3 linked regions of the Oryzias latipes genome follow. The protein of the gene in region 1 purifies or fractionates together with the protein of each later gene. This does not show direct contact. Links are inferred from orthologs where the notes say so. Each region holds a gene or a part of one and is shown in the gene's direction. Other genes may lie near its edges.

Evidence for each region. Proteins that work in one complex are often made in the same cells at the same time.
Region 2: the proteins of utrn (region 1) and sntb2 purify together in Homo sapiens (affinity purification with mass spectrometry; 4 studies listed by BioGRID and IntAct, with this or other methods). This does not show direct contact. The link is inferred for Oryzias latipes from reciprocal best matches to the Homo sapiens genes UTRN and SNTB2.
Region 3: the proteins of utrn (region 1) and sntb1 purify together in Homo sapiens (affinity purification with mass spectrometry; 3 studies listed by BioGRID and IntAct, with this or other methods). This does not show direct contact. The link is inferred for Oryzias latipes from reciprocal best matches to the Homo sapiens genes UTRN and SNTB1.

What each region holds. Positions count from the first base shown.
Region 1 is NC_019882.2:8,810,798-8,814,515, reverse strand, and holds part of utrn (utrophin), read left to right. Parts: intron 1-49; coding exon 50-112; intron 113-191; coding exon 192-335; intron 336-744; coding exon 745-882; intron 883-962; coding exon 963-1,055; intron 1,056-1,199; coding exon 1,200-1,370; intron 1,371-1,477; coding exon 1,478-1,650; intron 1,651-2,324; coding exon 2,325-2,475; intron 2,476-3,184; coding exon 3,185-3,360; intron 3,361-3,718.
Region 2 is NC_019864.2:27,643,413-27,647,130, forward strand, and holds part of sntb2 (beta-2-syntrophin), read left to right. Parts: intron 1-234; coding exon 235-457; intron 458-1,237; coding exon 1,238-1,448; intron 1,449-3,718. UniProt on the Homo sapiens protein: Adapter protein that binds to and probably organizes the subcellular localization of a variety of membrane proteins. May link various receptors to the actin cytoskeleton and the dystrophin glycoprotein complex.
Region 3 is NC_019874.2:10,562,648-10,566,365, reverse strand, and holds part of sntb1 (beta-1-syntrophin), read left to right. Parts: intron 1-270; coding exon 271-388; intron 389-524; coding exon 525-614; intron 615-2,524; coding exon 2,525-2,661; intron 2,662-2,775; coding exon 2,776-2,972; intron 2,973-3,718. UniProt on the Homo sapiens protein: Adapter protein that binds to and probably organizes the subcellular localization of a variety of membrane proteins. May link various receptors to the actin cytoskeleton and the dystrophin glycoprotein complex.

The sequences.
Region 1 (3,718 bases):
AAAAAAAAAAGATTTATTACAAGGAAGTCTTTCCTTCGTATTGACTCAGATGATGGCCAGTCTTGAGAGTGAAGGTGTTCAGATATCTGCAAAGGAACCTCTTCTGGTACAAGTAAGTCTTATTTTGCTTGCCAAAAAAAAAAGATGACTAATAAGCCTTTACAAATATATTTTTATCTTCTTTTCTCAAGGTTGGACAGGAGACCCGTGCAGAAAGACCCCAGCTTCCTAAAACTGTGGTCCGAACTGAAATAAAGGAGCTTCGGGCAGAGCTTCAGGACACTCTGCAGACTCTGCAGCAGCAGGACACAGTAAACCTGCAGGATGATGAGAAGGTTTTTACTTTCTTCCAATGTTTGCCTGGACTTTAAACGGAAGCAAAGAATGTTTGACTTGGGTGTTTCCTTTTTCTTTTGTGGTTTTATTAGATTTGACTAAAGTTTATACAGTAAAAGCTGCTATCTGATAAGACTATTCCTATAGTAAATGTTTAAAGATTAGAGTTTATTCAAAGTTTATGTGATAAAAAAATTATAGTTTAACACATAAAAACGTTGAGTGACCCAAAGGGAGGTCATTGCACCTCCCAAACCGCATTTCTTATCTAAAATGTGTGAATTTATATCCTCAGTGATTTGGATATTTGCAGATTTGAACAGATTTCTCCTTTTTAATGTTTTTAACAGACGGGCTTCAAATAGCTTTATTGAAAAAACTAAACCCGGCTTTTTCCTCTTCCTTCAGATGGATGCAGAGAAAGCCAACATGGAAGAACTGCTAAGAAGAGGAGAAGAACTGCTGCAGCAAACCTCAGAAGAAGACGAGAGGGAGGAGCTGCGGGTGATGCTGCTCCGGCTGCAGAGCCAATATTCTGCTCACAGGGTGAGACTCAGTTGTTTTCTCAAGTAACAATGCCTGTTAAGGACAAGCCTAAAGAAAACGGAGTTGTGTTTGGGCTTTAGGAGCTGATGATGCGGCGTTTCGTTGAGATGAAAGGGCCTTTAGAGGCGCCATCTTCTCACTTTGAGGAGAGAACATCAGAGCTGTCAGCTCAGGTGAGGGACTAAACAAGTATTTACTTAGGATGGTTTGGGTCTTTCTGAGAGGGATTTGGTCAAATATTTTTGGTGGTTTTGCAGGTGCAGATTCTTTTCACAGTATTTTGGACGTCAAGAACTTTTCTTCTTGTTTTGATGCAGGAGATGTCAGCATCAGGGCTCAGCAGCTCGCCGTCTCTGACTCCCTCAGACTACCTGTTGGAGATCAATAAAGTCCTCCTTGCTATGGCGGACAATGAGTTGCTCCTGAACTCCTCTGAGCTGAGCGGGGGCCTTTATGAAGACTTTTCCAGCCAGGAGGACACACTCCAGGTGCAACAAACACAAGCTGCTAAAACACACCTTATTCTAAAGATGTCACATAAATGTAGAATTTGCATGAACTTTTGTCGAGTGACTTTCGTTTGCTCGTCTTTTAGATTATCCAGGAGAGTCTGGAGAATCTGGGCGATAAGGTCACGGGGATCCACGAGCGGCACCCCGACGTCATCCAGGAAGCTTCTCATGCTGAAGCCGCACAGATCGGGGACGCTCTGGCACAGCTTGACGCAGAGTGGGATAGACTCAACCGCATGTACAATCATCGCAAAGGGTACCTGGACATAATTCATATGCAGACGCAATAATGGGAGATTTGGTGCAGATTCGAACTTGGATCGATGTTTTACAGAAAAAGGAAAAAAAAACAGTTTCCACTTTTATTAACTTGACAAATACTAGATATTCTGCACAATGAATAACATATGTTGAAAATGATATTTTTTATTTTCTTTCATTTTTTGCATTAATTTTTAAATTATTTCTTTCTATATTTTTTAGTGTGCAATCAAGATTTCTTTCATGGTAATGGTAAAGGAAAAACGGATAAAACAGACCATAAAAAGAAATGGAAGCATAGAAAAGTTAATCATACATTTCTTCCCCATTTTTTTCTTTTATAAGTCACTAGATATTACAATATTATAAATGTCATTTGTTTATTTTGTTTGAAACAAACATCAAAGGGCTCCTATTTATGCAGGTTAACATGAATAAAGATGTACAATCTTTTTTTTTTTTCTGGCATTCAAACCAAATAAAAATATAAAATGCAAAAACAAAACTTTATCAATGTCCCTTTAAATATAGAATTGTAAATGCCACAACCATTAATATACCGTTCATTTTATAAAGTCCTGAAATTATCTTTTTTTTTAATTTAAACTTAACAGTTAATACTTTTAGTCTAATCTGGATGAAATGTTAGTTATCTATGTTGTTTTGCAGGAGCTTTGACCGAGCTGTAGAGGAGTGGGAACAGTTTCACTGCGACTTAAAGGAGCTTTCTCAGTGGCTGACGGATGCAGAGACGCTTCTGTCTGAGGGCATGGGCGCCGATGGACCGCCGGACCTGAAATCTGCCCGGCAACAGCAAGCGGTCAGTACTTTCTGGTGCAGCGTTTGGATTTAAATGTATGCATTTTACTGGTTATTGGGATGCAGATTTTTTCCACATTTGTCTTGATAAATTCTTACTTATTGAAAGCATTTCTCTGCAAAGTGAAAACTTTAAGGTATGGGTAGATCCAGACCATGATTGCTTGTCATTTTCTGGGGAGAAATAAATGGGCCCTGTGCTGTACCTCATAAACACTCAACACATAAAGCGATCGATTAGAGAGCGCAAAAATGATGAGCAGTGCGGGGAGAGATCAGAAGGGACTTTTTAATTTAGTTTTGTTTGATTGCTAAAGTGGCATTTTGATTGCTGTGGGAAGTTCAAATCGGTGAAGCTGCTGCATCATCGCTGACCTCCTCCATCAGTGTGATTTGCGATGCTCTCCTAACCGCAGTACTCGCACAGGGTTTCACGGCTACTAAGAAGCAGTCGACGGATCAGAGTCGAGGGGAATTGAGGGATCTATTAGCTGACTCACGGTGTGTGGGACTCCACAATCATTCACCTTAACGCATCTGTTCTGGCTCACTAAATCTCTCAAAGTGGAAGGTAGCAGTTTGGAATCCTAAATATCGGCTGCGTGCAAATTATGTTGAGGTGTAAATAAGAAATGTGCTTGGAGAGATTTGAATTAGAGAGGAAAAATGATTAATTTGGTGTAATTTATTCTTTCTGCCTTCCATGTTAGGAGTTGGAGGAAGGCCTTGCCAGCCATCAGGCGGTTCTTTCTGGACTGAACCGCACCGGGAAGCAGATAATTGGAAAGCTTTCATCTCCTGATGGATCGCTGCTTGAAGACAAGTTAGAAACTCTGGGTCAGCGGTGGAGAGCAGTGCAGCAACAATTCTCAGACAGGCAGCGCAGGTAAGCATGGAAAAACAAAATCATAAATCATAAAATAGAACAATAAAGTCCTGCGATAAAAGTTAATTAAACAGCTGTTTATGTAGAAATAAATCAACGCTGCATAGGGGTAAACGATGGGTGTAAAACTTTATATTTTATTTGAATTATGTGAATTTAATTAAATACACAAAAGGTATTTTTTTGCAGATGATACTGATTTGCATGGCTTTGGAAGAAAACTTTTTGTGTGCATTTTAGCTAAATGTAATATATAAGTTGGCCTAAATTTCTCCTTATATTCCCCAAATAATTCAGAAAAAGGAAATATTTAAAACTGGTTTAGGTTGAAATCAGATTGAAAACATGCAAGCGATTG
Region 2 (3,718 bases), on another chromosome or scaffold:
TGTGCCTCTAAACAGGACCCTGGCAGCAAGAATACATGGCTTTGATGGCAGAACTCTCAGAACCACTGAGAAAATCAATGCCCCCAGCGGGTCTCTCACAAATTCTGCTCCTGATTCATGAAGAAAATACTCAGAAAAGTCATTTTCAGTGTATTTTCTTTATATATGGCCTCCATCATCAAAAAAATGCCACAAAAACACAATTTTTATCAATGGGTCTCCTTCTCTCCGCAGTGAAGTACATTCGTGAGGTGTCTCCGCTCTTCAAGAAACCGTCGCTGGTCGCAGACCTGCCGTGGGACGGCGTCCGCCCGCAGTCGCCCAGCTACAGCGGCAGCGAGGACTCGGGCTCTCCTAAACACAGCAGCTCCTCCTCCCCGTCCAAAGACAGGAAGGTCATCAGCCTGAAGATGTGCTTCATCAGCCGGAACCTCTCCATGCCGGATTTGGAAAACAGGTCCGGCGCTGCACACACATACCTGGGCGTGTGGGAGGTTAGGTGTGGTCTTTGTGGTGGGTTTGTGGCCATTTCCTGTTCATTCCTCTGGAATGTTTGCTCTTTAGGGAGCTCTGTGCAGCGGTCTATGAACTAAAACTGATGGGTCACATTCTGTAAAACATCTGCATTAGCAGCATCTGTCATCCGTTAAATAATGAAGCAGAAAAGCCTTAGTCATAAAAAATGCAATAACCTGGAATTTGGTTCATTTGCACACAAGAGACTTTCTTCATCTTTCTATTTTAGGTTTCCTGTCTGCTTTTATACGCCTGCCCTAAAAAATCACCTTGAAAAAAATCGTCATGGTGGAAATTAACCTTTCCCAAGACTCATAAAGGAGTTGGTTGTTCTCTCCCCTATATGTTTTAATTAATTAAAAAAAGTATCCCTTTTATTGACTGTATTCAAAGTGAAAACTGTCCCTTCTTTGAGACCTGGTTATCAGGTTATCAGTACAATAAGGAATCACGGAAAAGATTAAAAATGTTGAAAATGTACTGACAAAATGCTTTAAATATGAATTTCAAAGAAAAAAGATGCTCAATTTGAGGGAAATGTGTCCAAAAATAAACAAATGAATGGACAGAAACAAACTTCATTTCAGAATATGACAGATTTACTGATGTTGAGTAGTAAAAAATGAGAGATTCTGGTCAAGCCACCAGTTTTCCTTGTGTCTCTTTTCTTAATGAGAGCTGGATTTGGTGTCAGATCTTCCTTCGTTCTGGTTGCATTCAGGCTGCTGGAGCTCCACTCCCCGGACGGCCAGCACACGGTGGTCCTGCGCTGCAAAGACGGCCCCTCTGCCAGCTCCTGGTTCACCGCCATCCACACCAACATCGCCGCGCTGCTCCCACACACCCTGGCGCACATCAACGCGTACCTGGGGGCGTCGTCTGCCGCCCCCACTCACCCCCACCTCAAACACATCGGCTGGCTGGCTGAGCAGGTACATTTCTGTGAGATGCAGTCCGTGGTGCGTTTAGGACCAGGCAATGTTTTGCACACAAGACCCAGTGATGTGGTGCGTTAAGGACCAGGTGATCTGGTGCCTTTTTAAGCATCCTGATATTTTCTTGTCATTATACATGTCGGTATTGCAAAGAATTTCTCTAAAACAGGGGTCCCCAAACTACGGCCCACAGGCTGAACCGGCCCGCCCACCTATTTGACCCCGCCCCCTGAACAATACTAGAGAGAGACCCTTTATTTATTTTGGCATCATTATTTCTTTAGGCTGGCCACATGCTCGAGACTCATGGAAGCGTGGAAAACTGAATCGTTTTGGAATTGTTTCCTCACGTCGATAAGGCTTAACCCTTGTGCTATCCTAGGCACTTTAACTTTGAGAGTTGGGTCATCTAGATCCACTAGACTGAACCTTTTTGCTTCAATGATTTGTGATCTTCACTGGTGTCCGTGGATTAGATGAAATCCTCTCCACCTTTATCCACCTTTGTCATGGTAGGGAGAACACGTCAACGTAAGGCTCGGGTCATCTGGACCCCATAGGATAGCACAAGGGTTATTCAAATTGAAATGTGAGCCAAGCTAAAAATGTGGCTACTGCAACCTCACTTTGCCCCAGTCATAAAACGTGAATGTGGACCCCCCCTCCCCATGGATAAATGACAAAAAGGTTAGGTAATTGAAACACTGATCCAGAATGCAGGTATTTAAACTAGGAAGTTGATCAGAGAGAACATACAGTGGTGTCTACTAGACTAACCTCCTAAAAAAAACTCCAAAATGGATTATGGGGAAAGAACACAACAACTTTAAGAGATTCTGCTCTTACAACTGAAGTTGAACATTTACCTAAATTTGTGCATGGACAACAGAAACTTTATTTCTGAACAACCCACAGAGATTTATTTGGTTATTATTGATTTTCTAAAATCTAAAATACTGTTGCTTAATATTTCCTGACTTTTTATTTAAAGAATTCTGTTTTTTAACTGATTTCATAAAGAGTCTCATTATATATATTTGCTGATTATTATAATTTATTTATTTATTTGGTGAATAACCCAGAGAGGATTATTTGATATCAGATTGGGTTATCAACATTTGGTTATGTGTGGCTTTCAGTTGACATTTTGGCCCCCCTGCGACTGTCACACGTTTTCTGTTTCAAACTGACCCTGGCCCCCGATCCGAGAACGGAAACGTCATGTGGCCCTCGCTGGAAAAAGTTTGGGGACCCCTGCTCTAAAGTGTGTTAACATGAAAGTAGACCTTAAAACTGCATGAAAAACACATCAAAGCTTCATTTTCTGACACTTGTTTCTGCTTTAAAACACTAAAAACAACACAGCTCCTTCCCCTGTGGCAACTCAGCATTTAGCAGCGGCAAAACCCCAAAACGATTACCGGTAGTCAGAATCTGCTGGGAAAATGTTGAACCCTTTGACGCCTGAATCTGTTTCCAGCGATGAAAGAAAAATTGTCACTTTTGTTTTTTCTTTCGAGTCCTAAATGAAGGTAAGTTTGGAGCAGTAGTGGATTGATGGATATCGAGGGGTTAAAAAGTAATTAAAGTAAAGTAAATTTTCTCTGCATGAAGGTTAGATTGGATCATTTAAAAAACCAAAGGCAGTGACCACAAAGGGAGGCTATAGAAGTGACCAAAAACAAGGAACAGAGCAAAAGTTGGGTTAATTTACTGAACAGAGGGGTGGGAGTTGTTTATTTTAGGGACTTTCTTGATTAATGTTATTCAGTTAGTTTCATTTTGCCCCTCTGTGCAAACGACAAAACTTGTTTTTTTCTCTACTTTCAGTGAAAAACATTTATTAAACTAAAATCTGCACTTTTGCCTGTTCTACCATCCTTCAGAAAGGGAAAATATTTTAAACTGCCTTAAAAATGTTTTTTTTAAACTTGATAATTTAGTTAAAATTGGCAAAACATTAACTTTTTATCTCAAGATTTAAATGGAATTCTTCACTATAATATAATGTTTGTTTAGCAACTAAAAATCAGTTCAGGATTTAAATCCGTTTCCCAATCATTTTCACCTCTGAGACAACATTGTTCCCCCATTAATTTGCAAATGTTTAAGCATTTATTCCAAAACATATATATTATTTTTTAATTTGTAATTTATTTTGAATCATGTTTTAAGCATAGGAGCCACTTTATGAAGATATATTTGAGTTCAAAGGGATAAAAAGTGTTGATTTAACAAAGAAAAGTTGAATATTAGTGGAATCCAGT
Region 3 (3,718 bases), on another chromosome or scaffold:
AATCTTCCTACTCTCTACTTGTACCATCTCAGATTTTAGAACACCTTAGTTCATCCTTCTCACTAAAAATATTGGATAAGAACTGGTGCATCTGTAAAAATTAAAGCCTCAATTGATACATTTGTTATGAAAAAAGTATTAGTTGAGACAAAATACGAGTTAAATGACATAATTTGATTATATTTGGTCATTTGAAATATCTTTTCCGTAGAAACTTTGTTACTGATCTTTGAGAAGTAAAATATCTTGTTTTGTTTTGTTTTCCTCCAGACAACTGGAGCTGCATTCTCCTGATGCCAGGCACACCGTGGTGCTGCGGTGCCCAGACCAACCATCTGCCCTGTCCTGGTTTGCTGCCATACACTCTGTCCTCTCAACGCTGACGCAGGTCTGAGACCGATTTTGTAAAGAAAAATCTCATCATCAGCATGAATTAAATTTGTCGGCTGCCATTATTCAGCTTCTAGGAACTGTTTTCATTGTTCTGCTTGACAAAAGATAATGTGGACTGTTACCGTACTCAGAGGGTTCTAGCAGAGGTCATCCAAAACACATCCAGGACCGGGATCGCTGGCAGCAAAGAGATACGGCACCTGGGCTGGCTGGCAGGGAAGGTAGGAATGCGTCTTTGTGTTGTCAACTAGGATATCTGTCCAATGTGCATAGCAATACTTTAAGGGGTTGTATTTGAATCCCAATAACAGTACTTATTGCGGTCACAGAAGTTTTTAAAATATTGATTATAATTGCACAAGAGGCTGCACGATGGCACAGTGGTTAGCGCTCTTGCCTCACAGCAAGAAGGCCCCTGGTTCAAGTCCTGCCTTTCTGTGTGGAGTTTGCATGTTCTCCCTGTGCATGCGTGGGTTCTCTCCGGGGACTCCGGCTTCCTCCCTCCATCCAAAAACATGCTTCAAAGGTTAATTGGTCACTCTAAATTGTCCATAGGTGTGAATGTGAGTGTGCATGTGATATGTGTGACCCTGTCTAAGGCGTCCCCTGCCTTTGCCCATAAGTGTCCGGGATAGGCTCCGGCAACCCCGTGACCCCGAAAGGGACAAACGGAGGAAGATGAATAATTGTGCAAGAATTATAATCAATATTTTTAATAAAGTCATCTGAAACAAAATAAAACAACTGTGTGCCTGAAGCTGCCACATTTCCCCCCTTTTTGTGGGGATTGTGTTGGCGGTGATGCATATCTGTCGCATAATGAGCTTATTTTTCCAGCAAACGGTCATAGGTTTTGTTCCTTTTTTACATACTTATGGAGATTATGAATCCTGCAGCTTTTTTTCCTACTTTATTGGTTTGACAACATTGATGAAACTCTTGAGGGTACAGTATAATGATTAAACCAGGCTTGCTCAGTTTAGACAGGACAATGTTGTCCAAGCAATTCACATCAGGCACTACGTTAAAGTGGTGTTTTAGCCACTATAACAAATAAACAGAAAATTCTATAGTGAAATTCATCAAATGTTTGCTTTAACACCCTTTGATTTTTTTTTACCGTTAGACTGCCTTTGCCTTTCAACCCTATGTTTATCTTTGCATGTCAAGAACACGGTCTTGCTTTTGTGCTTGTATGCAAAATTCACAGAAGCGTGCACACACATGCACAAACACACACACACACAGCCAAAAGTAAACTTCCCCCTCTTTTACACTCAACCACCTGAGCAAAAACATGTCTACGTCTTTCTAAATTAAGCACAGTGAATTTGCCAAATATTTGATCCTCCACATGAAATACAATACTGTCGTGTTACTTAGCAACTTATAACTTATGTTATGTTAAAAAGGTAACCTTTGACCCTCCGAATCCCACAGTATGATTGGTAGAGACAGAACTTCAAAGAGCAGCTTAGGATCCCATGGCTCGGCTGCAGATAATCTACCATAATGAGAACCGTTCTGGAGCATAGTCACATAAAATTCACATGAATCGTGTCGATGTGCGGGTGTGTGCGTGTCCTTTAGTGAGAGGGTTGTAGAGAGGAGTGGGTAAGGGGGGGGGGGGGGGGGGTTGAATACATAAAGAATGTACCTGCTTTTGCACACCAATTACATTTTATTTTAGCTCAGTCCCTGCAGGATACATAAAAGAGAATCTCGACATTTTGGTTTTGGACTCAAAATAAAGGCTTTTACTCGCTGAATACCCACACAGAAAATGTGCTGAGACAGATTAACTGTTGGAAAGGAAGTTTTTACCTCACATTTGGGAAGAATGGAGTAAACTAGCTGCTTAAAGTTAAGTTGATCCATTGTGTTTTGCGGTTTTCTGCAGGTTTTTAAGGAATTTTCTTTTAAATAATTTTTCTGACTCTTGTCTTAAGCAAGGCAAACAAAGGGGAACTTTATTTAACACATTTAACCCCTGACATGGCACAGGGGTTGTTTTGTTTGTTATTAGTCCCTGTAAATGTGTCCTTTTAAGCAAACCCTATTGTTATAACTTGAATTGTATGGCTGCAGTAGCTCCTGTTTTATTGTTTTTTTGTGTGTGTTTATGCCACAGACGGAGAGCGAGAAGCAGTGCTGGAAGCCCGTTTTTGTGGTGATGACAGAGAAGGACCTGTTACTGTACGACTGTTTGCCACGAGGCAAAGAGGCCTGGCAGAACCCTGCACACATTTTTCCACTTTTAGCAACACGGTAGGTAATCCATGTGCAAATAAGTTATGGATCTGTGTAGTGTGTTAACTGCTTCAAATGTCAGAACAACAATTATTCTTCCTTCTGCTTGCTTTTGTGCAAATTGTCGTGTAGGCTGGTCCAGTCGGGTCCTGATCGGGGATCGCCTCGCTCTGGTACAGAGCTGTGCTTCGCCACTCGGACTGGCACCAGACTCGGCATTGAAACTCATATTTTCCGAGCTGAAACCACTAAGGATCTGTCCATGTGGACCAGACAGATAGTCAACGCATGTCATGCTTCAGCCGAGATGATTAAAGAAGTCACAACAAGTGAGTGGCATCATCTGAGACAGTCCCATTGAGGTTTGGCAATACCTCCATTTAACCATGCACACTGAAATACGAAATCTGTCGCGTTGATGTGGAAGTAGCAGAGATTTGTTTTAGATTGCTTTTCTGCGGTCATAAGGAATGCAGGTGAAGCCACAACATAAAGCTGTGGTGCACATGCAAGCGGGGGGCCCTGCATCCAGGAGAGGGTTTGTGATGTAATCTGAGGGCCATATGGAAGACGTGGGCGCAAAGGCTTGCTATTCTTAGAGGAAAACTTTTTGTGTGTGCTGTTTGGCACTGAGAATTGGTCGTTTTGGGAATTCCAGCGTAATACCTCCCCTTCTTCCCCCCTTTTTTTTTTTCCGTATCCAGGGAACCACTTCTCTCCTCAGGGTCTCTCTCCTCTTTCTTTGTGCCAAGTTAAGTTTCACCTTAGCTTCTTCTCATGTTCTTTATAAAACAGCTGGTCTTCATTGCTAAATTTATCTTCAGCACTATTTCCTTGTTGCAAGTGTTGTGTAGAAATCTTGATTATTATTGTAGCCTCTTTAAATGCATCTCCATCAACTGATCTAGTTGTCTTACTTCTATGAAACATGCTATTTATCTCTGAGTCACGATGGTGGAATTTTTGGCTAAAGATATCCTGAATCTATCTTATGTCAGTGTATCGGATTGTCAACCACAAATATGGATTGAATCAAATCGTTGTTGAAATGAATCGTCACACCCCTAAAATTTTA